3 linked regions of the Caenorhabditis elegans genome follow. The protein of the gene in region 1 purifies or fractionates together with the protein of each later gene. This does not show direct contact. Each region holds a gene or a part of one and is shown in the gene's direction. Other genes may lie near its edges.

Evidence for each region.
Region 2: the proteins of F01F1.11 (region 1) and fkb-4 fractionate together in Caenorhabditis elegans (co-fractionation; one large-scale study listed by BioGRID). This does not show direct contact.
Region 3: the proteins of F01F1.11 (region 1) and pad-1 fractionate together in Caenorhabditis elegans (co-fractionation; one large-scale study listed by BioGRID). This does not show direct contact.

The regions. Positions count from the first base shown.
Region 1 is NC_003281.10:5,866,365-5,876,412, reverse strand, and holds F01F1.11 (PAP-associated domain-containing protein), read left to right. Parts: upstream 1-4,535; 5' UTR 4,536-4,568; coding exon 4,569-4,587; intron 4,588-4,639; coding exon 4,640-4,822; intron 4,823-4,869; coding exon 4,870-5,105; intron 5,106-5,156; coding exon 5,157-5,321; intron 5,322-5,369; coding exon 5,370-5,577; intron 5,578-5,869; coding exon 5,870-6,053; intron 6,054-6,096; coding exon 6,097-6,267; intron 6,268-6,597; coding exon 6,598-6,649; 3' UTR 6,650-6,728; downstream 6,729-10,048. Other genes in the region: aldo-2 (Fructose-bisphosphate aldolase 2), read left to right, coding at 92-133, 193-274, 612-1,363, 1,415-1,639; F01F1.3 (MIF4G domain-containing protein), read right to left, coding at 1,811-1,969, 2,013-2,159, 2,209-2,323, 2,844-2,971, 3,020-3,147, 3,289-3,358; F01F1.15 (DUF3456 domain-containing protein), read left to right, coding at 6,885-6,966, 7,014-7,213, 7,258-7,356, 7,488-7,688; eng-1 (mannosyl-glycoprotein endo-beta-N-acetylglucosaminidase), read left to right, coding at 7,914-8,011, 8,306-8,511, 8,599-8,917, 8,960-9,217, 9,407-9,610, 9,657-9,873.
Region 2 is NC_003283.11:12,781,491-12,791,721, reverse strand, and holds fkb-4 (peptidylprolyl isomerase), read left to right. Parts: upstream 1-4,595; 5' UTR 4,596-4,722; coding exon 4,723-4,803; intron 4,804-4,956; coding exon 4,957-5,222; intron 5,223-5,323; coding exon 5,324-5,576; intron 5,577-6,272; coding exon 6,273-6,452; 3' UTR 6,453-6,569; downstream 6,570-10,231. Other genes in the region: ugt-5 (UDP-glucuronosyltransferase), read left to right, coding at 1-81, 129-363, 408-493, 544-680, 735-1,008; srbc-43 (Serpentine Receptor, class BC (Class B-like)), read left to right, coding at 1,204-1,387, 1,565-1,920, 1,976-2,071, 2,128-2,229, 2,358-2,525; srbc-44 (Serpentine Receptor, class BC (Class B-like)), read left to right, coding at 3,171-3,354, 3,523-3,878, 3,922-4,014, 4,055-4,156, 4,295-4,453; sre-20 (Serpentine Receptor, class E (Epsilon)), read left to right, coding at 6,858-6,876, 7,210-7,464, 7,514-7,640, 7,774-7,930, 7,976-8,098, 8,148-8,284, 8,332-8,500; ZC455.1 (LIM domain protein), read right to left, coding at 8,837-8,971, 9,020-9,203, 9,247-9,374, 9,422-9,832, 9,881-10,102, 10,151-10,231.
Region 3 is NC_003279.8:12,872,993-12,883,729, forward strand, and holds the start of pad-1 (Protein pad-1), read left to right. Parts: upstream 1-5,646; 5' UTR 5,647-5,659; coding exon 5,660-5,812; intron 5,813-6,507; coding exon 6,508-6,601; intron 6,602-6,754; coding exon 6,755-7,013; intron 7,014-7,655; coding exon 7,656-7,845; intron 7,846-8,303; coding exon 8,304-8,535; intron 8,536-9,168; coding exon 9,169-9,645; intron 9,646-10,231; coding exon 10,232-10,410; intron 10,411-10,737. UniProt on the Caenorhabditis elegans protein: May be involved in protein traffic between late Golgi and early endosomes. Essential for cell patterning during gastrulation.

The DNA.
Region 1 (10,048 bases):
CACTCTCGGCGACTGTACTGATTCTCTACACTCTCCGCCTCCCCATTTTCTCGACCGTCCATTTCATTTCGCATCACTTCTATTTTTCACGATGGCAACTGTCGGAGGCGCTTTCAAGGACTCTCTTACCCAGGTTTGTTGATCATTCATCATTTTGTAATGCCCTTCTTAGTTTAATTGTTGTATTTCTAGGCTCAAAAAGACGAGCTTCACCAAATCGCTCTCAAAATTGTTCAAGATGGAAAGGGAATCCTCGCCGCCGATGAATCCACTGGTGAGCTATTGGAAAAATTCTTCTAGAACTAGAAAATCGAGATTCTTATCTTCTCACAATCATCTTTTGACAATTTTTCTATTCAATAAGAATTAGCGACTTATGTTCAGAAGTTCAAAAAATAAATTTTCACGGTCTAGCGATCATATTCTGTGCCCTCTATCGCCTCCAATTTTCGATGTTTATGTTGTTGAAATTGGAGATGTTGATGCATTGATAGTGCGAGTGATAGATAAAATTGTAGATAGAAAGAAAGATAACATGTAGAAATGATATTGGGGAAGACCGATTTCTTCTTTTTTATAATGCAGCACATCGTGACCCGATCAATTTGCAGGCACAATCGGAAAGCGTCTTGATGCCATCAACCTCGAAAACAACGAGACAAATCGTCAGAAGTATCGTCAACTCCTGTTCACTACTCCAAATCTCAACCAGCACATCTCCGGAGTGATTCTCTACGAGGAGACATTCCATCAAAGCACCGATAAGGGAGAGAAGTTCACCGATCTTCTCATCAAGCAAGGAATCGTCCCAGGAATCAAGCTCGATCTCGGAGTTGTCCCATTGGCTGGAACCATTGGAGAGGGAACCACCCAGGGGCTCGACAAGCTTGCCGAACGTGCCGCTGCTTTCAAGAAGGGAGGATGTGGATTCGCCAAATGGCGTTGTGTTCTCAACATCGGAACTCACACCCCATCTCACCTCGGAATGCTCGAGAACGCCAATGTGCTAGCCAGATACGCTTCTATCTGCCAGGCCAACGGACTTGTTCCAATTGTCGAGCCAGAGGTTCTCTGCGACGGAGAACATGATTTGGCTCGTGCCCAGAAGGTTACTGAGCAAGTTCTTGCCTTTGTGTACAAGGCTCTTGCTGATCATCACGTGTATCTCGAAGGAACTCTTCTCAAGCCAAACATGGTTACTCCAGGACAATCGAGCGCGTCGAAAGCTTCACACGAGGCAATTGGATTGGCTACCGTAACCGCCTTGAGACGCGGAGTTCCAGCTGCAGTTCCAGGAATCACTTTCCTGTCTGGAGGGCAATCCGAACTTGATGCCACTGCTAACCTCAATGCTATTAACTCGGTAAATTTAAACGAAATGGAATAACCTTATATCACTCATTTCTATTTACAGGTTCAACTCGGAAAGCCATGGAAGCTCACCTTCTCTTATGGACGTGCTCTTCAAGCTTCTGTGCTCAAGGCATGGGGCGGAAAAGACGAGAACATCGCTGCCGCTCAGAAGACACTCCTTCACCGTTCCAAGGCCAATGGAGATGCATCTCTCGGAAAGTACGCCGGAGAAGACGCAGCTGGAGCCGCCGCCGAGTCTCTCTTCGTTGCCAAGCATTCCTATTAAGCGATGACGCATAACTTCCTGTGAATAGATTTTTCGCAACCTCGTCCCCAAGATTGTATAATTTCACTGACCCCGAAATGAAGTTTTATTTCACCGAAATTTTATATTTTATGAAACCCGAAAACTAAAAATCACCAAAAGTGGGAATATTAAGGATCTACTTCAATATATTCAAACAATGCTCTCTTTGCTTCCGAACTCTTGCTTGCTGATATCATTCTTCCGAAGTGGTGTCTGATCAACAATCGATAGCTTCCCTTCTGCACTCAAAGTGAGAAGACATTCAGGAATATTCAGCTCACTCCATCCAAATGCCCAAAGATCATACACCTAAAATCAAATAATCAATTGATCATTCTCTGATCTTCCTCACATGAATGAATATTTGACGGACATGTTTAGTGACAATTGGATCTTCACTGATAAGTTTATGACGCAATTTTACAATGATTCGTTCGACGAGATATGAATTCAAATCGTGAAGAACGCGACCATTCTCGCTGAGAAGTATCCCGGCTGTCTGAAATTAAAAAATTCTAGATTTTTCAGAAAAATGTTTCTGTGGAAACCTCTAGATCTTCGGTATCTGGAGCATCATCAATAAGTGCATCCAAAGATGAGAACATTGGTTTTATGAAGCATTTTGACACACATTCGTCCATTTTCACATATACTGGATACATTCTGAACGGATATTTCAATATGAATTCATCGAATTTCAACTACTAATTTTACTGTTGGAAAATTCCAGTTCTCGCGTTTTTTTTCTATATTCTTTGCAAGCAAATACTTACGATTCATGTGAGAAAAATAAGGTCCCTGGTTTCGCCACGACAAGCTTATGTTAACTAAAAAGAGGTGTGCGCCTTTAAAGAGTACTGTAGTTTCAAAATCTTAAATAGTTTTCCTCACGATTTGTTAAAATGTATTTATGTATTTCTATTTTTTTTATTTTGAGTTTTTAATAAATACACATATTTTTTTCGGGAAACTATGAAAAATCAATAAAAATTCATCAGAGCTCTGCAGTGTTGAGTTTTTGAAACTAAAGTACTCTTTAAAGGCACACACCCTTTCTCATTCAACAATACCTCAACATGATATATCATATGATATCAAAATTGCGTGTCTGACTACAAGAAACATTCGAAAATTGGAATAAAACGATAGTTTCTTTCGAAAAAAAAAATTGGAAATTGCTTACGAAAAAAGTGTCTTCACACAATTCCTGAACATAAGTCGAGAATCGTTTCGAACTGAAAGCCGGTTACGGTAGTCGTTGAGTAGTAGAGCCAACACATTTGAGGATAATGAAATGTCTTTTGGATCGGACTGGAATTTTAATTTGTGGTTTTTGAGGTTACCGTAGTACAGAACTACCTTATGGATGTGCATTAGTATATTTGCAGCAACTGGTCCAAAGCGTCCATCCGAAAGCCATCGGAGCCTCATGTGTTCGGCGAGAACTTCTGTAGAATGTTGACCAGCAAGCATACTGTAGGCTTGCACTGAAACTCGAATTTTTAAAATTGTGGGTCCCGCGACGATCCACATCACTTTTCACTAAATAACGGGATCAAGGCGTGAGCAGGCACATTTGCCTGATTCTACATACAAAGAACGATTTCGAATTTTCTTAAATAGCTCACCTGGAATTGGTCCTTGTTGTGTGAGAGTTGCAAGAGATGCAAATAGGCTCCGTAGTTTATCATCGTTCATTTCGTGATTATTGATTTAAAAAAAATGTCTGAAAATTTTCAATTTCTGAAATTTCCGATTAACTTAATAATTCTCAAATATTGCCGAGTTAGCCAATTTTTTTTAATTGACGATCAGGGTTCTAGAGCAAGCGAAATATTTCAGCTACAGTACCCGCGAGTACTGTAGAATTTCATTCTTCTTACAGAAAGTTGTTTCCTATTTGACAGTTTTCATATTTCCTGATATATAATAAGACTTCTCAGTAATTTAAGTTTTTCTAACAAGTTTTCAAAAAATTGTGGGAACTGGTTGAATACTTACAGATACTGTATACTAAAATTTTTAGCTCGTGTCAGGACCCAAAAAACTAATTTTTTCTACTAAAAATTGTACAAAATAACCGGGTCAAATCGAAAGACGAATGGCTCGAGCTGAATGACGCAAGAGATTTGAAAATGAGGTGAAAAGTGTCACCAGAGACAATTGGGTGCTTCATGCTCAACTTTCAAGATTTTTTATCTCTTTCGAAAATGCATGATGGCAAAGTTCAGAAGGCAGAGCAAGCAGCATCACACACTCAAAAAATGAAAAACAGAGGAAAAGTGACGGCTGTTTCGAATTACACAACACATGTGGCGAACAGAGAGCTCTGGAGAGCATAGAAGAGGCTCAAAACACATGAACATAGCAATATAATAGACAATTAAAATATTGGAATTTTCATGAATTATATACATATGTATTTTTCAGATGGGTCTCGGCGCGCAAAAGTTTATGGTAGACTTTTTAGAATTTTCACGTCTGCTTTTTTGTTCATTTGCCTTGCGTTTTTCAATGATATTAATTGTTTTTTAGCGAATCATGTCATATTCTTTTCATTTTTCTATCCTAGAGTTTGTAAATATGTTGTTTTATAAAAACACCAACGCTGTTTTCGGTTCATGCATACTTGCATAGGACAAAAATTGCTTGATTGTTTATAAACATAATTATTTTTATTAGCTTTCTCGTGTGGAAATGTGAAACTTCAAGAAAATTCTATTTTGCGGCTGGAAAGGGAGGAAAATTTTTGTGCGGCAAATTAAATTCAAATTTAGCGCGCAAAAAGGTGTTGGACTTTTCTCGGCCGTGCACTCCTCTCGGACAACGTTTCTCTGGTCTCTCTCGGTTTGTCTCTATTCTCTATTTTCCTTTTATTATTTTTTTTCAAGAAATTTACCACAAAAATATGAATAACTCAAATAGAAGTAAGTTTAAAAATAATAATTTTATTCAAAAATTAAAAAATGTTCTTTATAGTAATTCCGTTTGCTTTCAAAAGCTCTGAACACGGCTCATACGAAGATGAGATGATGGAAATGGAAGACGTAGTCGATGTAGAGGACTATATGGGCGGAGAAAAATATGATTCTTATAATGATGCAAAAGAAGATATTAAAGATTTTAAGACGACTCAAAGAATGAAAAAAATCCATCGAATGGGTAAAAAAATTATCAATAAAATATTAAAAGTTCAATTATTGTTTCAGAAAAAATTGAGCAAAACATTGCCTCAGAGAAAATCGATATAATCGAGCTTGGAACACGTGTGATGGTGTCGACATCGGATAAAACGCTCAATGAAGCTTCATTGGAGAGAACCATCCGTTGCGGAATATCTGAAGCCACATTTCTCGGAGATATTTCTATGGAATCGCTGGTAGAAGGTATGGTGAATCCATCGGCGGCTGATGGAAGGTTTGCAATGCTTGGAACGTCTATTATGGTCAGAATTCTGATAGCCCGGAATTCAAAATTCCATTTTTTGATTTTTCAGCTAAATGCGCTAAAGTCAAACATTAAAGACCTGAGAGGAACAATTGTAGGACAGACGACCAACACAAATTCAGAGTCAAAATTCGATAAAATCGATTTAAGTCTAATGAATCTCTCGCATTGCCAACAAACTTCTTACAATATTCGAGCAACAGGTGTATTCTCTGTGAGTTTTTTTTTGTTTCAGCTTCTATGAAAAAATGCCAAATTTTAGAATGCCGATCTTCAATATGTGTTCAGTTTGCTGACGTTCCGCAGAAACGCAAAACTTCTCAACAAAACCAAGCAGTTTATAAAAGCATATTTTTGTGTTGCGTGCCGTCCGAGATGCATGATCTGGAGATATACTTTAAGAAGAGCTGGAAATAGTCAAAGAAGAGCCATTCTTAACTTACCATCCGCCATTGTTTCAACTATTACTCGTAAGTTTTAAATAAAAAAAGAGAATCCATGGGCTTTTTCCAATATTTGGAAACAATTTTCGTTTTTTCAAAAAATAGTTTTAAATGTTGACCTTTTTTCCTTTTTAGATGGCAATTATATGTTTTTCCTTAATAATATTGATTGATAACAGTATAAGCCTAATTTGATTTAAACAAAACATTTTTTTGTTGTAAAATTGCTAAACTTTTTTTTTGATTTTCTCAGAAAAAAAATCCATAAAAAATTTCAATGATACCCTTGCCAATAATCAATTTTTATTGTTTTTTCCAGAGTTTCTGCTCGATTTGACAGGAATTAGCGATGCAAACATCCCATACGATCAGCTCGATCCAATGACACCACTATCAATTTCACTTGGAGAAGATGAATCAATGCGTGTTCAACGATATGAAGAAGCTTGTCGATTGAAGGATCCATTGACGAGATTCTTTCGAGATGCAATTACAGATTGCTTGTAAGTGCCTGAATCCTTGAAAATACATTGAATTAAATTTCAGAAATGAGCTCCGAGAGATGCCGTTTTGCCTGAACACGGGCATTCTGTTGAGCCCGTTGCGTGGTCGAGAACAAGGAACTTCTTGTGTTACATGGAAAGATTATGAAGGATTTTTGAAAAGAGAACACGATCTGCCTTCCGAAGCGAATATGAAGAAGCGAACGCAGTTTGAGTAAGTTTAAAAAATAATTTCGATTTTAAAATCCTTAAAATTTGCATTCAGTTATAAGTGTAATTTTTTTTTGGAAAAAGCGTAAAATTTGAAAATCAATTATATTTTCAGTTACCGACAGGATAACAGAATTTTTCTCTATTTTCGCTCCCTTTTTTTCGAAAAATACCAAAAATAAAATTTCATTGCTGCTCGCTGTTGCGGAGCGTTCTTTAGTTTTTCACTACAGTACTACTTTTGAAAAAATTGTACGTGACGAGGCCGGGTAACATATCTTTGAGACGAGATTTCAGAGTTCATATCTGAATAGTATTAAAATTAAATTTCCAGACAACGGCTCTGCGACATTATTCCACGTGTACGTCGACCGGTTCCCAATTGAAAAAATGTTTAACTTATCAATTTTCGATCTCTTGAATACGTTGTTTCCAATCAACTTTAATGAATAATATTCATGTTTTATTCGTGAAGAAAAGTACCATTTACACAAACACTGGATACCTATCCAAACACCGTTCTTTTTCTTTTCTTTCTGCCACTCTCCCAATCATTGTTTGCTCTCTCTCTCTCTCCGCTTCACTTGGTCATTATCGACGCTTTTTAACCATTTATTCAGAATGCATTTTGTTTCTACACTGGTTTGTCTCATATCACTGTCGGGTATTCAATCTGCATCGGTTTCTTCATTAGAGTGTGGAGGTTGATAGATTTTTCTAAAATATATTTTTAAATATTGAAAATTTCAGCCTGCTCCCTCCTCGTAACCCATTTCGAGCTGAAAATCGCCGCAGTCGACCCGAAAAAGAAAATCGAAGTTGGAAGTTTCCGAGTTTCACCAACTGGAGATCAAAAAGGGCTCAAGGAAATCGGCTATGCTCGTTCAGAATCTCATTTGACAGAAATCATTGAGCACGCTTGTGATGATGCGAAACACTATAAACTTGTGGTAAGAACCATAAATTGTATAGATTTTTACAAATTTCTCTTCAGGTGAATACAATTACTGGAAAATCAGTCTACGTTCACAACGACGCCACACATTTGAAAGGAGATGAGTCTCCCAAAATGAGATATAATCTTCAAAACGCTGTAAGTTCAAGCACGGGATTCCAAACTCTAGTTATTATTAGAAAACAATCCCTAATGAGAATTAAGAACTTTTTCAGTTTTTTGCAGAAAACTTCAGTCTTGATTTTTTAATTTAAATTTCTAAATTTTAGTGCAACGACTTCATTGACTCTCACGAAGATGAGCTTCTTGGTTTCCTGAAGACCGCCCATCAGGATCCCGTCAAACAGTTCTGCCAAGGAGAAATGGGTGCTTGCACTGCTGTCGATGTGGCACCTCTACCTGCTGCTCCAGAAGAACCAATGGATCTTTCTGATATTCCAGATGATGAAATTGACAGAAAAGAACTTTAAATTAAATTTTCCTTTTTTAAATTAGTAATTTATGAATTTCAACTCGTTTGCGGGATCTGGAAATTGTGCTATATCGTTATCTGTTTGAATTTTAATTTATATGTGATTTGTTTTGTGATATAAACTTCAAGTTTTTCCTTTCGTGAAATGCTAAGGGTAAAGTTGAAATCAATTGAAATATCGCAGAGCCTCTTGATCTTGACTTACAATTCTATTTATAATTAGATGACGATTTCTCCAATTGACACACTCGAAGAGCTCTGGAGTTGGAAATCACGAGAAGATGTTGGCGAGCAATACAGTGAGCAACTGGTTAACTTTAAGTAATTTTTATGAAATTTCAGAAAGAAAATTAATTTTCTACCTGGCAATAAGAATAGTGTTAAATATTTTTAGCCCGAATGCGAAAAAAATGGTTTTGGCGCGAGCCAATTTTTTCAGCTACAGTACCCAGTAGTATGGTAGACTTACATAATATTTGGTTTTTACTTAGTTTTAAACTTTTTTTGATAACTTTATTGATAAACAATAGTCACAGTCACAGTCACAGGACAAAAGCTTCGATCGTGCTGAGACCTAAAATCATGGATTTTCCCTACTATATGGCAAAATTTCAGACCACATTCGGGTCGTCAAATCCTCGTATGCCACGATATGCGTGGTGGATATTTGGAAGAGGAGTCTACGGAAGGAAAGAAATTCGAAAAAGACCGGTACCCGTACATGTTCTTGAATTGGTGGCAAATCGACATTTTCAACTACTTTTCACATCATTTTGTGACGATTCCACCGGAAGATTATACACGAATTGCTCATAAACATGGTATAAAATATTAAATCTAAAAATCGAAATAACACAAAACATGCCCGTCCATTTCTTGGTTTTTAAGTCAAAGTATCCCAATTTCAGGTGTTCTTTCACTTGGAACATTCATCACGGAATGGATTCCAGGATACGATATTTGTTCGAAAATCTTGGAAAATGAGGGTTCGGTAGAAAAAACAGTGGACTGTCTGGTGGCTGTTGCGAGATTTTTTGGATTTGATGGATGGTTGATTAATATTGAAAATAAAATTGATGCAGGAAAAATCGATTTGTTGATTCAATTTTGTTCGAGTTTAACTGAAAAGTCAAAGAAAATGAATGAAAATTCGAAAGTGATATGGTATGATTCGGTACTTGATAATGGAAAGTTGCATTGGCAAAATGAATTGAATGAGATGAATCGGTTAGAATATTAGAACTGTACTGAAATATTAATATTTTTAAGAAAATTCTACGATGCTTGTGACGCCATCTATCTCAACTACAACTGGAAAGATAAAGAACTTCTTCGATCGGCTGAATTTGGAGTTCTTGATCGGATCTTTGTTGGAATTGATGTATGGGCTCGTGGTTGTGTTGGAGAATTTCATTGTGATCAGTCATTTGCATTGGCAAAACTTTTTCACATGTCAGTTGCTCTTTTTGCACCCGGATGGATTTATGAAAAGTTTCCTGAGGAAAATCAAATTTGCAAAGGAATTCAGTAAGGTTTTTTGAAAATAAAATTGAAAAATCAGAAAAAAAAGACTACAGTACCCCGATAAAAATATAAATTTATAAAAAACATAATTTTTGAAATTTAATTTATTTCCAACTAGAAAATTCTACATTAGGATTTTTTTCAGAAAAATTCCACAATTTAAGTTTTATTGAAATTTTAATTTAATTCCAGCTTCTGGTCCAAACTTCTTCCACACATCCGAACTCGTCCTCTAACTTCTATAAACTTTGGCACCAACTTCTGTACTGGAATGGATCAAAATTGGCACTACCGCCTGAGCACAGTGCAGCTTCAGCCTCAAATTTTAAGCTCCTTCTGCCACCAAGTAATTGACTCTACAGGACTCACTCTTTTTGGCAGAAATCGAAAATTTCTGTAAGTTATGAACATACAAAAATTTACTCATTATAATTTTTTCCAGACTATTCACTTTCGATTCTGTCAACTACAGTACCCTGACCATAACTTGCACTACTTCCAATTCAATTGACCTGCTTCTGAATAGATCTGAAATTATGGACAAAACCGGAGATTCCACGTGGCATATTGACAAGCCAGGAAATTTGGAATCCATCAGCATCTTGACATCAAGCAACGACGAAACTGTGATCGAAAACTTTTCCATTGATTCTAATTAAATAATTCTAATTTCATAAAAGTCAATAAAACAAATTTTAATGCACAATTTTAGATCAATTTCTGGTATATATGTACGTATATAGAATAGATTAAGCATTGTACAAGAATTAAAAGACTAGACATTCTAGCACACGGATGATGCACATATAAAATCGGGAAAAGGTGGCGAAAGTG
Region 2 (10,231 bases), on another chromosome or scaffold:
TTTGTTATTCCAACTATCGCAAAAGTAATTCCGATTGGTGGCTACACAATGGACTACAAACAAGTTCCGCCTGTATCAAAAGTGAGTTAATTTACAAAATAATCAGTTTCATTGTCTTTTAATATCAGGATCTTGATACCATTCTCAATTTGAGATCTTCAACAGTATTCATTTCCTATGGAACAATGATTTCTGCAAAATATATGCCAGATGAATACAAGCAATCGATGATTGATTTTTTCAAGGATAACAAGAATGTAACCTTTTTATGGAAATATGAAGAACCAGAAGAGAAATTTATAAAAGAAAATATTCCGGATAATGTCCATCTTTCCACTTGGTTTCCTCAACAGTCTCTCCTAGGTCGGTCATTTGAAATAATGTTTTTGACGTTAAAAAATTTGTAGCTGATAAAAGAGTAAAACTATTTATAACACACGGAGGACTGGGAAGTACAATGGAACTAGCATACTCTGCGAAACCAGCAATCGTGGTATGATAGTTTTAATGAACTTTGAAAATTAGGACAACATTTGAATTAAGACTCCACTTTTTGCGGACCAACCCAGCAATGCACAAATGCTTGAAAGGCATGGGAGTGTTGAAGTACTTTCTAAGCATGATATTCCAAATTGGAAAAAACAGAGCGATCTACTAAAAACAATGTTGGCTGATAAAAAGTTAGTTTTGGAATTATATGTATTTTTAGTTTCCAAATTTTGAACTGTTTATAGATATCAAGAAGCAGCAACTCGTTTAGCTGATATACTAAACAATCAACCAATAAGCCCTCGAGAATTAATGTTAAAGCATGCTGAAAATGCAGCACGTTTTGGTAAAATTCCATCATTGACGCCTTTTGCAAAAGATATGGGATTCATCGAATTCTACAATATTGACTTGATTATCTACTCTGTTTCGTTCACTCTTTTCGCAATTTACGTAACAATCGAAATATTTGGAATTGTTAAAAATTGCTGCAAAACTCGAAAACTGAAAAATGAATAAATGTGATGTTTCTGCCGGATCGAATATTTGTTTTATATCATAAAGGGCATTTTCAATGCTTGGTGCCTTAACTAATTTTGAAGTTTTTACATAGTTATACTTCTTGATAACTTCACAGTTGAGTTCGCTTCAGTTCAATCAGTCTGACGTTTTCATGCAAAAAGTAAAAACTACAAGAAACACAAATTTGTTCAAATGTCTTCTGAATTCAACTATCGAGCATTTTCTGTCACTTCAGTTGGATTTATTGCTTCAATTTTTATTGTGGTTCTCAATATTCGACTTCTATGGAAATTTCAAAACTCTCTCATGAAAAACAAACCTGAATATCACTTATTCAAAATTAGATTCATAGTTGATATATGTTATTCTTTGACAGGTACAGTTTCATTGAAATTTAAGAAAAGTTACATGTAAAGAACAAAGTTTATATTTTTATTTGGTAGAACACCACAGTTTCTTAGCACAACATTTTATCCTTTTTGCAACCTGCTGGATACATTAGTTGAAAAATTCCATCGGAAAAAGATTTTCAAAAAAAAAGATTACATTGCAGTTAGTATATACTACTTTTCATTAATTGTGTCTTATATCTCTCCTTTCATTCTTTTCCAATATAAATCACTGTTTATTGCAACGTTATTATCCTCAAACGTTGTCTCAACCAGGTTTTTCTTGGGAGCTTTAATTTCAATTGAGCGGCTCATTGCTGTATTTTTACCTGTCAAATTCCATAATAATCGACAGAAAATATCAATTTTCACATTTTTTATTATGTTAGTATTGTGGGGAATGCTGGAAGATGTTATGTATTTTTGGGTTTGCAATATTTCTCCATTTGAAAAAACTTGCTCAATTTTGGGGTGCACTTGGAATGATTGTTTTTTGCAATACTGGACTGGAAACAAACTTGTATCAGTTTTAAAATTTTTCTCGTAATTTTAGTTTTTATTTTTCAAGTGTTCAGATAATTGGTTTATTTACATGCATGAGTTCTTTGATTCTATTCGTAAAACTTTTATCACTGAAAAAAGCAATGAATCTGAATAATGATCTGTCAAAAGTTAGTAATATCAGTGTTTGCTCTATTTCTATAATTAGTATAATTTCATTTTTCAGACGAATTACTTATGCATCGGCGACGCGTGCCTAACTCTTATATTTGACTTTTCACCTTTTCTGGTGACACTCATTTTCAAAACTCAACTTTTGTCAGCAGACGTGAGTTATTCTAATAAGAAACATAAAATAGTTCAAGCATGTTTGTGTGATTTGATGAAGAATGAGTAACGCTTTGATGGAAGCTATCAAGATTTCAAAATGATCGAGAGTATTTTATCATATTTCAGATCTATGGGCCATACAATGCTACTGCGAAAAGTCTTGCATGTTTTATTGATGCTGTAATTGCAGCTATCGTGTTGAAAATACCATCAAAAATAAATTCTATAAAGAGTGTAAATCCGCGTAGTGGAATCACTTCCGACCGACATGGATCAAGCCGAACTCAATTTTAAATCATTCCTTTGTGGATGTGGATAAATTACTGAAAATTGTAATGCATACTTAATATTTTTGGTATCTGAGGATAAACAAGAAAAATTGGTAAACCGTAAAAAAATATTTAAACCGGTTCAAAATTTGAAAATCCACCCAAATTCTATGCTTCCTATGTACATATGAATGTATATATTTTTATTTTTGCGTTAACATAATATTTCTGCTACAAAATGCACGGATGTTCTTTATACGGGTGTCCATATACAGAACTACAGAACATAACATGTCAAATTTTCGCCAATGATTTTGAAGTTTCCGAAAATTGCCGAAAATGACAACTGAGAACCCGGAAAAACTTTCAACTGTTGCTTGGAAATGGTAGTACTGGAAACTGCGTTGTGTCCATCATTTTGATAATGGAGTAATTTTTTGTGAGATTATACTACATTTTTCCAAACTTCATCATATTAATCATCACTAAGAATCTCAGTACATATAATTGGTTTTCGGTTTCTAATCTGATTAGGAAGTTTTTGTGCACATCAGTGATCTTACAGTTCAGTTCACTTCGATCTCCTCGTTTTGCTTTCTCTGAGCGGAAATTTGGCATACTTCATAAGACTGACAAGTTTCTAGTCTTTGGCATTTTTTTTTCTCTTCTAATGTCTTACGAATTCAAACACAAGGCATTTTCGGTCAGCTCGGCAGGAATCACAGCGTCGATATTTGTTGTGGTTTTGAACATTAGACTTCTGTGGAAGTTTCAAAACTCTCCAATTAGGAAGAAACCGGAATATCATTTATACCAAATACGATTTTTTGTTGATATATGTTATTCAATCGCAGGTAATGTTTAATAGATTTTGGAAAATGCAATAAATTCTCACCCAGTGGGTGTCGCAGGCATAAAATTAATTCCTCTTTAAATCTATGTCTGATAGTATAGAGGCTCATATGATCAGGATAGTGCAAACCCTCAAAATGTCGAAAACGAAAAATCTTACATGGTTACAGTTAGTATATACTATGTTGCCTTGGATATATCTTACCTCTCTCCATTCTTTCTATTTCACTACAAGATATTGTTTGTCGTGACATTATTATCCTCAAACATCCTGTCCACCAGATTTTTCCTAGCTGCTCTGATTTCGATAGAAAGATTAATTGCAGTATTTTTGCCTGTTCAGTTTCATAATAATCGTCAAAAACTACCTGTTTTTATATTTTTCACTATGTTACTTTTATGGGGAATGTTTGAAGACGTTATGTATTTTTGGATCTGTGATATTTCTCCATTCATAAAAGATTGCTCAGTTCTGGGATGCACTTATAATGATTGCTTTTTGCAATACTGGACTGGTAGTAAATTGGTGTGAGTTTTAATTGTATTTATTTTCAATTAATACTTTTCAGGTAATTGGAGGATTCACTTGCTTAAGCTCTTTGGTTCTCTTTTTCAAACTTTTGGCATTGAAAAAAACCATGAATATTGTCAATTTATCAAAGGTAGGCAAATTTAGCCTTTAGTAATTAATACTTTTTTCAGACAAATTACTTATGTATTGGTGATTCATGTTTGACTCTTCTATTTGACTTTACGCCATTTCTTTTGACGCTTGTTCTCAGAACACAACTTTATTCTGCAGACGTAAGTGGAATTATTTTGAAAACTGTTTTGCTCAAACATTTTTTACAAAAGGCTTTGAAATTATTAGGTTTAAATAATTTGAGAAGTTTATAAACATTATAGTAATGACTTAGAAGAGCTGATAAATTATAATTTCAGATCTATGGGCCTTACAATGCTACTGCAAAAAGTACTGCATGCTTTATCGATGCCATGATTGCAACTTGGGTCTTGAAAAAACCATTAAAACCAACTCAAATTAGACAAATAAATTCACTGAAAAGAATTTCCGACCGACATGGATCTAGTAGAACATAACTTATAAATTTTAATTGTCAGATCATTTTCCCTCTTCTCTTGTTTTACTTCCCTTACGCGAAAAGCTTGCTAAACGATTCTTGTAAGCGAGATAGTACGAGACGCAAGCACAAAAGAAGGACACTATGCGATAGATACTGCTGTTGCCGTGTTGGCCTTCGATCAGTGTAAGAAAATAGAAAACGCAGTCGTAGACGCATTTGTAACCGCTCATCCACTTAGACTAATTCCACTCCCCAAAAACATTTATTTCTATTACTAAAAATCAAATGAAGTTTTTATATCGAACCACTTGTTTCCTGATTATTGTATTTTCATCGACAGTTTTTGCAAACGATAAGAGCTGGAAGGTATATTATTTAACAAATTGGAATTTTTCATTTAGCTTGACTTCGTGAAATATATCATAAAAACAATTGGAAGTACAGTTTCCAAACTATAAACGATATTAGGAAATTTAAAAAAAAACCACTTCTTCTTGAACAAACTATTCAATCGTTCAGGAAGATGACGGATTAGAAATAACGATAACATCGTCAATAGATGAGAGCGAATGCGAGATCAAATCCGCAGGTGGCGATGTAGTTGATCAGTACTACAAGTTGACAGATGAGAAGGGAGTTGAAATTGGAAGCAATTTTGGAAAGAAACCATATACATTCACGTTGGGAAGGAATCAAGTGATACCTGGAATGGATAGAGCTATGCGAGGAATGTGTATTGGAGAGATTCGAAAAGTTGTGATTCCCCCGAAACTAGGATTTGCGAAGTAAGCAAGGGATTATATTATTATTAGTTTCCTAAGGATAATTTGTTCCTGAGAAGTTTGATCATTGAAACCATACATGAAGTTTTTTTTTATAATTACAGAGACTCGACTGGTCAGCCACTCTATTACACTGTCCAGCTGGTGAACCTGTTCCGTGCGAATCCTGGGGAGAGATGGGTCACTGAAGAAGGAATTCAAATTGATCAGATTCACAAGATTGAAGCAGACAAATGTAAAAAAGCTGAAGCTGGCGACAAGATTTATCAGCAATATGTTTTGAGATTAGAAGATAACACACTTGTGGACTCATCTTATTCAAGAAATGCTCCGTTTGTATTTAGATTGAGAAACAGAGTAAGTTTTTTCAGTTATTAAAAAACCAACCGCATATAGGTAAATGAAATTTAATGAGAAAAAAAATCATCACAGATTTTTTTTGACACTCAATTTAATAAAATAAAATTTCTCTCCCGGCCACTTTTTGCCCAATTTACCAAACCTTGGACGAAAGTTTGTTTGAAGTTGGGCCAGATTTTGGATTTGTATTTTGAGTTAGAGTATTCGAAGTTTTGTCAGATTTTGGCAAAAATTGGTTTAAACATTTTTAAAACTTTGGTTTACTCTTTGAGTACCTATTAGAAGTTGATGTATGTAATATATGGTGTATGTAAATCCCGAGAATGTACGTTTTCATTTTTAATCTCATAACTGTCTGATGAAAATGTGGTTTGAGCTAGGTGTTATGTGGTTTATAAAAATTAAAGAAACTGGTTGTTACATTGGTTAATGAAATCTTATTTCACCTGTCATGTGAAATTTACAATTTTTTTACGTAGGGAGCAAATTACAAAACCCAATGAAAATTATGCTTAATTCTTTGTTTGAATTTTTTTATTAATATTATTCTTGTTTATTTGATCTTCAAAATTGAAATATTCTGATGATCTAGAAAAAAAAACATGAAAATATATATATCATGAAATTTTGGCGCAATATTATATGATCGGAAAAATTTTTTGTGGCAAAGTACATAATACAATATAATTTTAGGAAGTTATCGATGGAATGGATATTGCAATGGATGGAATGTGTGAAGGAGAACGACGTCGTGTTGTGATTCCATCTGAATATGGATACGGATCCCAAGGATCCCCACCAGAGATTCCCGGTGGTGCTCGTCTTTTCTTCGAAATTGTTCTAGAAAAGCTTGTTAAAAGAGATGAACTTTAGAGTGATTTCAGATGTTTTTTGTTTGATTAATTATTGAAAAGGACTTCCTGTTTCCGTTGAACGTTCTCTGTTAATGTTACATATGTACGTGTTTGTGCCATAAAAATTTCTTGATTTCTCGTAGATTTTTTCAAAAAACCAGCTGCAACGATTATCCGAAGCAAGCTTCTGTAGCCATCGGCTCTCATAAAGTCGGAGAGCAGCTGAAATTGAATTGAAAGACCAACCAACATCACTTCGTCATAAGTTTTCAGAAAGTGGGGAGTGTCGGCTGACTACTGCCAGTGTTAACCTACAATTTTCTTTTGATTTGTAATTGAGCTACAAAATTGTTAGAAAGACATTTAAATTTGAAGCTGTCGGTGCGAAATTTTCATTTTCATGTCAGAAGAGATATTGGTAACAATGCCCCATTCAACAGTGTGTAAGTTTTTTTTAATAAAGTGACATTTTTTCCTGCACGTTCCGGGAACTTGTGAATTTGACGTTCAAATTTAAATCATAAAATGTAGCGAAAATGTTTATTGGTGTACCTTTAAAGAACGTAACTCGCCTTGAAAGTGCTCATGTTGTACTAAAGAAGTTAATCTTGTCACAATTAAAAACTGTTACAGTAAAATAGGTATAGGTATCTGTTGAGAAATATGATGCCGTTCCCGTAAAGAATCAGGTGAATTTTTTGCGTTGAGTCATTTACTGTAAACAGTTTTTTTTTCAACTGAAGCAAACCACGCATCAAAATGTTTTATTGTTTCAGGTAACCCTACAATATTTTCATTATTTCTTGATGGAGCACTTCGCAAAATGAGTATGACTGAAAATATAATGTACATAATAATTGTATTGATTGCATCAATTGCAACAATTCTATGTCTTTTGATAGTTGGTAGATCAAACACATTTCATCCAAATCTTCAAGGACCTATATGGTTTACAGCATTTGTTTATTTTGATTTGACCATAAGCAAAATGTTGACAATCGTATTCCAAACTACTTATTTGGTAGAACAAAGTACATACTAAATTATTTTGAAATATTAAAGTCTTAAACTTTTTTACAGATGTCCCCGAGGGTGGTATGACTATGATATTGTGGACTGCAGCTACTCATTATCATTTTTTATTTACTGTTATGGCAGCTCCAATTGTTATTGTAGTTGAGAGAAGTCTCGCGACATATTTCGTTTTGTGAGTTTTAAACATTTGAAAACATATAATTTGTCTGATTGAAGTGTTTCTAGTATACACTTTTCAATTTACTGTCCAAATCAATTTTCGAAATTTTTGAAATGTGTTTTTGGAATAAAATTATAATTTTCAGTGATTATGAGAAGAAAAAACGTCGATACATTCTCGTACTACTTTTATTATTCCAAAACTTTTTTGGTGCAACTTTTACTCTTTTGACAGTCAACAATATTCTTCGATATATTTCTGCAGCTGTTTTAGCAGGGATTATTGCAATTTCTTCATTTTTGGTATGTCATTTTGACTCACCAAATGTTTAATTATGTTACTTTCAGACGTTTTTATACAATTGTAGAATTAACAAGCGAACTTTGCATTTTGTTGAAACTCGGAATAGAGACATAAAATTTGATTTGAGCGTCAGATATCAGCTGCGCGAAAACGTCAAAACATTTAAGGTTTGCTTTTGCATTTTTTGGAATTTGGTTTTGATATGAATGATTTCAGATGTTGAACTTTTTACTGCTAATGCTCACTGGAATGATTGTTCTTTTGGCCATTCTCAAAACAATTCCAATGATTATAGGTGTTGAGGAGAAAACAAAATACATGTTCAAAATGAGTACAGATATGATTGTGCACGCGTGAGTCTACAATGAATCATTAATTCAAGTGTTCTTTCATTTTTCAGAGGTCCAATTTATGTTACGATAACTCTTATATGTGCTGTGGAAGATTATCGAATCATTTTCTACCGATTTTTGGGATATGAAAAGAAAAAAGTGGATCCGTGCAAAATTAATTCAAAACAAACGGAAAGAGATATTTATTTTGAACAGTTTTTGAAAGTTCTGAAATAAATATTTCCAACCTGGTGTTGCTTCTTAAAATTAAAACCACAAATTCAACGTTTTTAATTTTTTAATATTGAAAAAATGCGTGGAGCATTGTCATTTGTTGAATTCTTCAAATTTCCTGAAGATACGATCTTCATAACTCATAATTATTCCAAACGTAATAAAATAAAATAAATTCATCCGGGCAACTGATAATTGATGAGATGAAAAAGAGACGAAACAATATTGATAATAGTTTTGGCGAAAAACACATGTAAATGAATAAGGAAAATAGAAAATTCTAATAAATAATCTACCGTGTGAAAGTTTCTGTAGTGATGATATAAGTGAAAAGGCAGTTTAGTTCACATTTGCAGCCATCGTTGCTTTTTGGGATTCCATTATCGATCGAGGTGTAGCGCTGAGCAAGAATTCGACGCGGAATCTTTCTCGAGCACCAAGCTGGCGATTCGGTTCTCGAATCATTTGGCGAAGCTAAAATTTTAATAATTTGAAAATTAACATATTCATTTTAAAACTAACCAAAGTATCTACACAATCGGCACGTGCAGTATCAATCCATATCTTCACATCTTGCTCATTTTTGAAATGTTCACCACCGGACCATAATGCCAATTCCATTACATTTTTGGCTTTTGTTAAACTATTTGATTTATCTTCTTGAAGGAGAACGGCACAAGCTGACAATGCCCTTGAGAATCGTGATCTAGAACTTTTTCATTTAAAAAAATATTCAAATTGAGTATTACCGTAATTGGATTGGAGGTGCTTTTCCATCCATTTTGTGGTGAAGTAATGTACAAAGTGCTCGCAGAGCATAACGGCAAAGGCCGACTAGTTCATCGCCGCCGCTTTCAATTTCTGCTCCAAGTGTTTCCTATAATTAGAATTTTAAGAGTTAGTTTTACGTAAACGTTTACAAACCGGCAGGAACAAAAGTCTTGGGAACTCATTATATGAAGAATTTACATTTGGATATCGGTATGCTAATAAGAATTCTTTGAAATTTGTGCTCAGCGACTCCACGCCTTCTCCTTGTAACATTTTCAGAGCTTGAAGAACTTGAAGAAGAATGAAACTGACAAGCTCTTCATGATTTGTTCTATCCATTCTTTGATTAAGCTGATGAGCAGCCAAACTGTGGAATGAGCAAAGATTCAGTCGTGGCATGGCTATCACTTTTGTGTTCCGACCGTCAAGATTCTGTGTACCCGTGTCATAAAGGAATTGACGAATCGCACCATCATGATCTTCGATTTCAAGGAAGCCAGGCAACCCAAAGTGATTGGATTCGGTTTTTCTCATGAGCGGAGCATACTGGGAGCACGGGGCAATCTGGAAGTTATCCTTGAATTTCGGAAATCGCTGAGTTTTGGAGCTCACCATAAGAGTAACCGGATAGTCTGGTAAACTCTGTCTAGGAAGAACTGCATTATAGAACAAAGATTTTCCTTTTGTCAAAATTGGATGTGGAGAAGTAATGATGAAAGATGCAAAATCTAATTGTGAAAGTCGATTCCGTGATACTGGCTCATCACCTCTTCTAGCATCTTCTGATAGCTTATCGGCAACGATGTTCAATGTTTGAACGTGTGATAAAGATATCTGTAATGTTGAATCTTTTGGTGAAATAGTCGAATTAATACTATTTACTTGTTGGAATCGTTTGTAAAGTTCTTCTCCAGAAAGATTATGATTACTTTGTGATCGATCATTTCTTGCGACATGACTCAT
Region 3 (10,737 bases), on another chromosome or scaffold:
TGTATTACATTTAAAAGTAGGTAGTTCGAAAATCGAAATATCAACGAAACTATTGTCTATTTGCAGTTTATAAAATAAGATATATTAATAACTCACACCACACTTTCAGAGCAAAGATTATCTTTAAGATAGTTGGATTTTGGTTTAGATTTTGAATTTTCGCAATACATTTGAATCGTAATAGGAGTAATAGGTGTATTTTACATAATAACACACTACATACTAACAACAAAAAGTATTACTATCAAAAAATTGAACCCAGTTATAAAAGCGGAAGTAAATAAACACCGAATCAAATCATGTTGGTGGTCATTAAAAGTGTAGCATTTTTTCACTTTGAAGGTTAACAAGACGGTTTGTTGGTAGGTTGGTGTTTCAAGGTTACTTGGTAGTTTTTACGCACTTCCTCTTTCAGGTTTTACCACTATTGCTCAGATCACTTTGGCGTTTGAATACGAAATTATAGGTAAGTTTAATATACCGTACGTATGTATATTCTCTATTAGTATTGCACCCAGCTACTTCAAAGTTATATCTCGGTTCATTTACATGATATCAAAAAATTATCAACTGTAATTTTATAGGAAAAGAGCTAACCAATATTTTGTCAGTTGACAATTTTTCAATAGAAGGAACGACAAGTGATATATAAGCAAAGTTGGAGAATTGGATGCAGTAGAGAATATACGGTAGATATAGAGACGTTATAATTTTGTAAAGTTGTTTCGATACACCATGTGCAAAAGCCTCGTGTGGCCCCAAAGTATACGTTGTCAATATTATTGGAAATAAGTCTAGAGCAGCTGGCTCAGACTATAAACTAAACGCTCCAAACTCAATATAAGAAGAAAGTACTTTTAAAATGGTTATTTGTTATCATCTATTACTTTACTGCGTAACACACAAGACCCATGATAATTCCTTGCGAGCAGAAGTGAACATGACCAAAGTACTCGTTAAACCCACTTGGTGCAAAATAACTAAATTTTCTATAAAGTACAGTTGACAGGAATGTCAAATATTCATATATTTTAATGATAGTAAAGTGGAGGCTAGCGTGAAACCCTTGGGGCAAAAGTGGCTTATAATTCTTTAAAAATTTTAAAACTAAATGATGTGGCTAGTTTTATATGCAAGACTAATTTGAACTTTAAAACGTATATTTCACCTTTCAAAATTGAATAACGTATCTAAAATTGTACAAGACACGGCTGGTCAATGCAGTATTAATAAATTAATTTATTTGGTATTTATTTACTTTAGCGAGATACGAATGCACATCAATTGAATTTTTTGTGAACATCTCGGTACAAGACGTCAAAATTCAAACTATTGAACATTGCCGCTAACCCAAGTGCATAAAATTCTCGACAAAAAAAGTGTGAATGAAACTGTCATTTTCAGAGTAGCAAGGGGAGGTTAAACCTTAAACTCGTGAACATAAAAAACCAGTTTCAACAGAGGTGAACAAAGTCAAAAGAGATGCAAGAATTTGATTAGCAAGGCGGGGAGAAATATGAGAAGCGCATGGCGGGAAACTAGATGGACGTTGTTTTCAAATTGAGGAATTGCAGGAATTGGTGGCAATTGGCACAACTGAGCATAGTACGGTAATCTACAGTAACCTAATTCAAAATATAAGAGGACGGGATACTGAGTAGAATATACAAATTAGTTAAATATATCTTTTTTCAGGAGTGAAAGGCAATTGCCGCTCGGAGAGTTAAATTGCTGAAAATTTGGAAAATCGAGAGTTTGCCGACTTTTCTTTGAAATTTTTCACTTGCTAAATTCGCTGTTTCCTGAAAAATATATTTTACAAACTACAGTGGTGCTAGGCTGTCCTATGACGGTATGATCTACAAAAAATGCGGGAATTTTTTGCAGCGAAACAATTTGACGTCAGCACGCTTTTAACCATGCAAAATCAGTTGAAAACTCTACGTCTCTTTTTGTAGATCTTGTAGATCCCGCATTTTTTGTAGATCTTTGTAGATCAAACACTCTGACACCACGTTCAAAAAAAACCATTGTTGTACAAAAATCTAATACAGGTACAGATGTTAGTAAATATAATGTCAAACCTAAAAGTTCCAAAAACCTTAACATTAAAAAAAACACATGTGTGGTTCCCGTCACCACCTGATAATACTATAAACATGTTTTTTAAATTTCATTTCTCCGCAAGTTTATCATCAAGTTGAGTGAATACATCACATAAACATACGAATAAAAAAATAAAACGTTTGTCGAATTTGGAATGTCGTGTGAATTTATTGGAACTTTTTGATGGTTTTTTTTTTGCGAAAAATAAGGTTTTTAGGGGCATTTAACGTTGAAACCCAACAATGCACCTAAATTTTAAAAATATTATTCGAAAGAAGAAATTTTCCACTGTTTTGTGAGATATTCTTTGTTATTTAAATACAAGCTTGTTCGGATAATTTTATTCCAGAATTTTCTAAATTTCTCTAAAATTATTTTAACGCGTTTACAAATAGGAAAAGCTAACAAAAATCACACTCACACATGTCACTCTGAAAATGTAGGCATTGTCGTTAAAAATCGGAATGCAAGAATGGTGATAAAAATGGGCGGTACTTGTTCAAATTTTTGGTTGAGGTTAGGAGACTACAAACTACAGCTGTGTCTAGACAAGCTTATATAATTTTTTTCTAAAATCGATATCTTTTGTGTAGTTTGTAGTGTGGCCAAACAATCTCAACCAAAATTCGCTTGGCCACTACAACACTAGATTTCGAATATTTTCACACAAAAATCCCAGAAAACCTACTACAAACTACAACACTTCAGCCTCAAACACCTGAAAACTGACCGCAACGAGGCTTGCTGACTACAAACTACAAAAATTTGAGCTTCTGACATGGTGCATCGTGGAATTTTAGAATTTTGGAATTTTAACGGACGTTTATCATTTTACATGAATTTCCATTTTCAATGTTAATTTCGAATCGAATAAACTGTTTTTAAGTAATTCACTCTATTTTCCAGCTTGAAAATCAAATATGTGCAGAAAAACTGAGAAAAGAAAATGGAAAATTGGGAAAACTGATGTGGGAACATCACATTCGTTTCCCTTTGTGGGGGAACTTTGTGGGCGCCAGGCCAGGGACACCCAAATTTTTATGCGTCTTCGATCATTTTATTGCCCTTTTTGCTTCTTTTTCGACTTTTCCGCCACGATTTTCAAGGTCTTTTCGACAATTTTTTATTGAAAAAAGATGTGGAGTACGGTAGACAGTGCCACTGTGCGCATTGTACGTGGATGCGTACAATGCGCCAGACTCGACGCGCATAGTTTATTGATTTTTTTAATTTAATTTTCGTCCGATTTTTCGTCCATCTTTCCTCATTTTTAACCGATTTTCCTGCATTTTCCGCTTGAAAACGTTTGTATTAGAGAGTAAAAGTGTTAAACATCAGAATCCTGAGCATTTATAAATAGAATGCGTGCGCTCCGCCCGTCTCAAGTGTTTGTTGTCCAGAAAGTGAAAAAGAGAAAGTGCTGAGATGACGTGAATTTTGCATTTTCATCTTTTGTAGGGTTAATTGGCATTGAGAAATTGTTTAAAATCTGTAAATTCTATGGGAAAAATTCAGAATTTTATTTTTTTTCGCAAAAAAAAAGATTTCCAGTCTTTTGCCCGAAAAATGTCGATTTTCGGCATTTTTCCGTGGAAAAAAGTGTCTTTTCCGGTTTTCATGCTGCAATATTGTGTATTTTGTAGTACTTTCCACTTTTTAATTCCACTTTTCAAATTTGTATGCCTAAAAAACTCGGAAATCAGTTTTTTCCTAGAAAAGAGCCAGATTTGTGTAGTTTGTAGTGTCTGCTTGAACTAAAAAGTAAATACTAGTGAAAATTATACAATTTTCCGCCTAAAACTATCAAAATCCCTGTTTTTTCGTTAAAAAAGTTTAAAAAAATAACTGAAAAAATCACCGATTTTCAGAAAAAAAACCCCCATAATTCGCTGTAAAAAAGGAAAAAATCCAATTTTTTTCGCAAATTTTTTGAGATTTTTCGACACTTTTGTAGTTTGTAGTGCGAATGGCTCACACTACAAACTACACGAATTCAGATTCCCCTTTTCAATCCACGCGCCAAAAAACGAGTGGATTGTTTCCACCTGCACACACTGCAGTCTTTAACAGCCTGCGTCTCTAGCGATTCGTATTGTGTCTCGTCACTTGACACGCACAGTGTCTGCGTCTCTCTCATTCCGTACACTATCTCGTCGTCTCTGTTTCTCATCAATACACACTGCAGTGCCGCGCCCTTGTGTTCAGGGGACACCGGCGACGATTCTTCAATACATATACATTCATATTTATTCCAATTTTTCCCCGATTTTTCATTCAATTTTCCCACCAGCCGCTCCATTGAACTTACCACGTCATCATTTTTCTGGGTTTTTTTCTGGAAAATTTGCAATTTTTCGAGTTTTTTTGATCAAGTGACCGGTATCTTGCGAAATATTATTTATTAAAATATTGATTTTTGGCTTAAATCCGGAAATTTTCTGTAGTTTGTAGTCGGAATCCTTCTATAAATTAGTTAATAAGTAACTCAACATTTGATTATCTAAAAAATTCCAATTTCAAATCGTAAAAAACCATTTTTTGGTTGGAATTAACTCGAAAAATGTTTCAAACCCCATTAAATGCTCACAGGGGTTTGTAGTTTGTAGTCTGAGCTCCAATTTTGGTTTTAATAGCCTTTTAGTGCAAAAAGGCCGAAAATTGAGCCAATCTAGCTATTTTTTTCCTGAAAATGAAGGCAATTTTAGGGTAAATGTGTTATAATATTGTAGTTTGTAGTTCGAAAATTAACCTAAATGTATATATTTTTTAAATAAAATTAACTCGAAAAACATGTAAAACCCTCTTTTTTTTAAAACTATTTTTGGTCTATTGCACCATGTTATTTCAACATTTTTCATTAAAAATTAGTGTCAAAATATGGAAAATCACATTATCTTCAGCTGAAAATCTAGAGAAAATGCTCAAAAATGGTCTGAAAGTTGCCAATTGTCGATAAATAAATTGGCAGCTTTCAGGCCATTTTTGAGCATTTTCTCTATTTTTTCACTGAAAATAATGTGATTTTCGGATAAATCAAGTGATTTTCTATATTTTGACACTGATTTTTGATGAAAACTGTTGGAATAACATGGTGCAATAGGGAATTCAAAATATATCGGGAAGATCTTTTAAATAGTGAATAACTTGCAAAAATTAGTTGTTCCGATTTTCGAGGTTATTCATGCAATGCGGAAATTTAGAATTTCAAATTTCTGCATGAATAACCCCATTAAATCGTCGATTTTTTCATGAAACGTGGGGATTTTTTGGGTTTTAAAAACTTCTAAAATCAATTTTTTGGTTAGAAAACACCTGTAATTTCTGATATTCATTTTTGAGCATTTTCTCTATTTTTTCAACTGAAATTAATGAGATTTTCAGATAAATCAAGTTATTTCGGACTGCAAACTACAATATTATAACACTTTTCAACTCAAAATAGCCTTTAAATTCGTTTTTTTTTCACGCTCTTTCCCCCATTTTTCCCCATTTTCCGTAACATTTCTCAACTTTCTGCTCAAATTCAAAGAAAAATTGCAGAAAGAAATAAGAAATGGCATCAGCATCAGGTGGAGATGTACCAGCGGGTCGAGAAAAAGATAGTAAATATCGTGCATACGCAAAAGCCATCGATCAGGCGTTGAAAACATTCGAAACACCCAATGAATGGGCTGATCTCATTTCGGCACTCGGAAAATTGGCTAAAGTGGGTTTTGTTAGTTGGAAGAAATTTCTAGAAATTCAAAAAATTTATTAACATTTTAGTGAAATATACATGCTATTTGCAGCCTAAAATACTAAATTTTTACTATAATTTTTATTTAAAAATTCAATATTTGCACAACTTCTAACATTTTAGTTCCATTTTTATTGTTTTAAATATCAAATATTATGGAAATATTCTGATTAAAAATACTAACATTTAAAATTCTAAATGTAACTGTTACAATGAATTAACACTGTTACAATATTGAATATTGAATAAACATCGCATTTTTCAATTTAATACTGTTATTTCTCGAATAAAGTTTTTAAAAATTTAATATTTGATGTTTACAGGATAAATTATCCTATTTTATTGAAATCAAATATCAGATTTTTAAAACTTTATTCAAGACATAACAGTATTAAAATGAAAAATTCGATGTTTATTCAAGTTTTTAACAATGTTAATTTATTCTAACAGTTATATTTAAAATTTTAAACGTTAGTATTTTTAATCAGTAAATTTTCATAATATTTGATATTTAAAACAATAAAAATGGAACTATTGAATGTTTTCATATAAAACAGAATTATAAATTACGCTATGGAATTTGTTTTTTTTAATTTCATATTTTAAAATGCATGTTCCTAGCAAAGAAATTATAGCAATAAATTTTTAAAAAAAAATCTATTCAGGTATTCCAATCAAACGCTAAATTCTGTGCGATACCAAATCGGGTAACCGTCGCGAAACGTCTGTCACAATGCCTTCATCCAGCACTCCCTATGGGTAAGGTTTTTTAAGAAAAATGTCATTAAAATATGGAAAAAAAAACTGAAAATTGACACAAAAAGTCAATAATTTGCACAAAAATTCGCTTTTCAAACATTTAATTTGAATATTTTCCAAAATCTGTCAGACTACAAACTACAAACTTTGCAGGTGTCCACCTAAAAGCCCTCGAAACGTATCGTCAAATCTTTGAAATTCTCGGGCCGAATAAGCTTCCCGAATGTCTATATCTATTCGCTGTCGGCCTATTCCCTCTAATGGATCACTGTGGAATTAAGGTTAAATCCGAGCTATTCACAATATTTGAGAACTATTTGGTACCACTTGGAGCAAATTTACGGCCCGCATTGCCCGGATTCTTGGGTGGAGTTTTGTTGGCGTTGGAGGAGGGAACAGAGTTTTATGAGAGGTAAGAGAGAAAGAGAGAGAGAGAGAGAGAAGACTACAAACTACAAACTACAAACTATAAACTAAAAAAAATTCTGAGCCTCAACCAATTTTGGTGAGGTTAAAGAGTACAAACTACAAAAAAACTGCACTTACCAGGAATTATTTGGGTTGCAAGAAAAAAAAACAATTAAAAAATTCGGCAATTCCACAAAACTCTCCATTGCACCATGTTATTCCAAAATTTTCCATTAAAAATTAGTGTTAAAATATAGAAAACCACTTAATTTAACTGAAAATCATATTATCTTCAGCTAAAAAATTAGAGAAAGTGCTCAAAAATGGCCTGAAAGTTGAAAATTTCCGCTAAAAAAATTGGCAACTTTCAGGCATTTTTGAGCATTTTCTCTAATTTTTCAGCTGAAAATAACACGATTTTCAGATAAATCAAGTGATTTTCTATATTTTTACATTAATTTTTAATGGAAAATGTTGAAATAATATGATGCAACGGAGGAGAGTTTTGTGGAATTGCCATTATTTTTTGAAAAAAAAAATATTTAAAAAATCTTTTTTTAATGTCAAAATACCACAAAAACCCCAAAAAATGAGAAAAGTCTGTGCAAATTTGTTGTAGTTTGTAGTCTATCAAGATTCTTTTCAGATCCTTCATTCTTCTGGATCGAGTCTGCGAAAAAGTAGGCCCACGGGCCTTCTACGCGTGCCTCTGGCAGGCAATTCTCGGCTCACCGCCCGTTCGATTACCCGCCATGATCTACGTGAACGCGAAATTCGACAAATTAAAGAGCCTCGATGATCAGATTCATTTGGTTGGAGATCATGTTAATCATATGGTACGGCGGAGTGTTACCCTTGAAGCGAAATTTTGCGATTTTTGCGCCAAAACTATGGTAACAGGTCTCGACACGACAATTTTGTTAACTGCAAAAAGGTGTGCGCCTTTAAAAAGTACTGTAATTTCAAATGTTCGTTTCTGTGGAATTTTTAGCTATTTTTCAATAGATACATATATCTTTTTCGAAAAAGAGCAACAAAAGTCGGAAGTTACAGTGCTCTTTAAAGGCGCACACACTCCTTTTCGCATTTTTCAAAAAAAAAAAAAGTTGTCGTGTCGAGACCTGGTACCGTGTTTTTTGGCGCCAAATTGCGAAACTAGACGAAATTGTGCAAAAATTTGCAAAATTTTCCCAAAAACTGCAAAAAATTAGCCAAATTTTTCTCAAAAAATGTGCAAATTTTGTACAAAATTTGTCCAAAAAAAGTGCAAAATTAACGTGTAAAACTATTGCAGGTAGCCGCCCTGTGTGCAGTAGCCGATGATACAGGTTCTCCACTTGTTCAACGGTATCTTTTGGATTTCCTAGTCGCCGCATTTCCATTGGATAGTACTAATCTGACGAATGAAGATTTTGTTCAACTTCTCCGAAGATGTCTTTTTGTAGTGCTTCGGAGAGATATGTCATTGAATCGACGTCTTTATACGTGGCTTATTAATCGAAGTGGAGAGACGAAAGGTGTCTCAGGTACAAACTACAAACTACAAAATTTTAAGCTATTTTTTGAAAAAAAAATCCCAATTTCTAGCAAAAAAATTGGTTGAAAATGGAGATTTTTAGGATGAAAACCTGTAAAGCTTCCCAAAAAAATATGTAGTTTGTAGTCTCTAAATAATTTTTTTCTAAAAAAAATCTGAAAATGACCCCAAGTTTCCTGAAAATTGCATTTTTTAATATTGGAAAATCGATTTTTTTTTTGAAAATTTCGGAAAAAAGTGCCTTTCTCATACAATTGATTAAAAAAAAACATATTTTGACGATTTTTTGTTGTAAATATTTAAGGAAAATTATAATTTTTCTAGCACAGAAGCTACAGACTACGAAATTATCAAGCCGCGGAGCCAAAATGAGCTCTAGGCAGACTACAAACTACATTTGAATTTTTATCGAATTTCGTTAATTTCGATAAAAAAACTTAAATTTTCTTTTTAAAAAATAAGAAAAAGGCCGAAATTTATGGATATTTTTTGAAAAATCGATTTTTTTTTCCGATTTTTTAATTTAAAAAATCGAAAAAAAAAAGATACTGAAAAATAATAAAGATGCTCCAAATTTTAAGATTTTCTTCTAAAAATCGAAAAAAAAATCCAAAATTTCCAGGCCTCTCACTCGGCGGACCCGATGACGGAATTGAGCTCACATTTTTCAAGGAACGAGTGCTCGGCCTTGTACACGGAGCTCTTGGTGAATATCTTGCTCTTGACACTATCGAAACTCCCTTTGCAAATCATCAAAATTCAATGTGGGGAGATCGAAAAGAAGCGGAGCAGGTCCAATTCGCGGAGGTTCGAGTATGTCGGCTTCTGCTCTACCTACAGGATCGAGCCGATATTGGAAGGACGATTTTGGAAACAGTTTTTGCGGATTTTTTGAAAAAATCTGCAGAATTTCATTCGAGCAGCAACAGCTCCTCACTGAAAAAGAGCCCCAGAAAGATACAGCAAAGTCTGAAAAATCCGCGAAAACCCGGAGATCGAGAGGGTCTTTATCTTGATTTGAATTCGGTGTGCTCTACGTCCAATAAGGATGATGATGTCACTTCTGTGACGTCATCAGCAGCAGCAAATGCCAGTTCTGGTGGGTTTTTGCTGCTGAAAATTGTGATTAAAATTGAAATTCTCTGTAGTTTCTATTGCACAGCATATTTGACGCGCAAAAATATATGGAGGGGGAAAATGTGGTTTCGAAATTGAAAAAAATCATTAAAAATGAATAAAAATTCTATAAAGTTTCTAACAATTAAATTTGTTATTACGGAAACACCGAATTCTGAGAATGCGTATTGCACAACATATTTGACGCGCAAGATATCTCGTAGCGAAAACTACAGTAATTCTTTAAATGGGTACTGTAGCGCTTGTGTCGATTTACGGGCTCGATTTTGGAAATTAATTCAAATCATTTATCAGTAAAATAATATGAAATTGGATTTCAAAGATCGAGCCCGTAAATCGACACCAGCGCTACAGTACCCATTTAAAGAATTACTGTAGTTTTCGCTACGAGATATTTTGCGCGTCAAATATGTTGTGCAAAACGCATTCGCAGAATTCGGTGTTTCCGTTATACCAAATTTAATTGTTACAAAATTTATAGAATTTATATTTATTTTTAATGATTTTTTTCATTTTCGAAACTACATTTTCCCCCTCCATATTTCCAGCTCCGCCACCAGACGAAGAGGATTTGGTCCAAGCACGGAGAATCGATGAGTTATCGAAAACTTTCAATATGCTCTTAAATTCACTGGAACCCGGTTTCTTGTGGACATTTCTTGGTGATTGGTATCGACGGATTGTTGAGAATAACGAATTTGAACGACAGATTCATGATTTTTCGCAGGTTAAAAATTTTCTGATATTTTTTTATTGACAAAAAATTCAAAAAAATTAGAAAATATATTTCTGCCAAAAAATTTCAAAAAAAGCCACAAAAATTGCCAAACAATTTTTTAAAAATATACTTTTAGCAGAACATTTCCAAACAATTTCCAAAAAAATTCAAAAAAAAAACGTTTTTTCACAAAACAAAAACGGAAAAATGTATATCCAAAAAAGCCAAAAAAAAAATTTTTTTTTTAATTTTTGCCAAAAATTTCCAAAAGAATTTTAAAAAAACCAAAACCACGTAAAAAGTGTATATTTTTGACAAAAAAGTCCTTAAACCAAA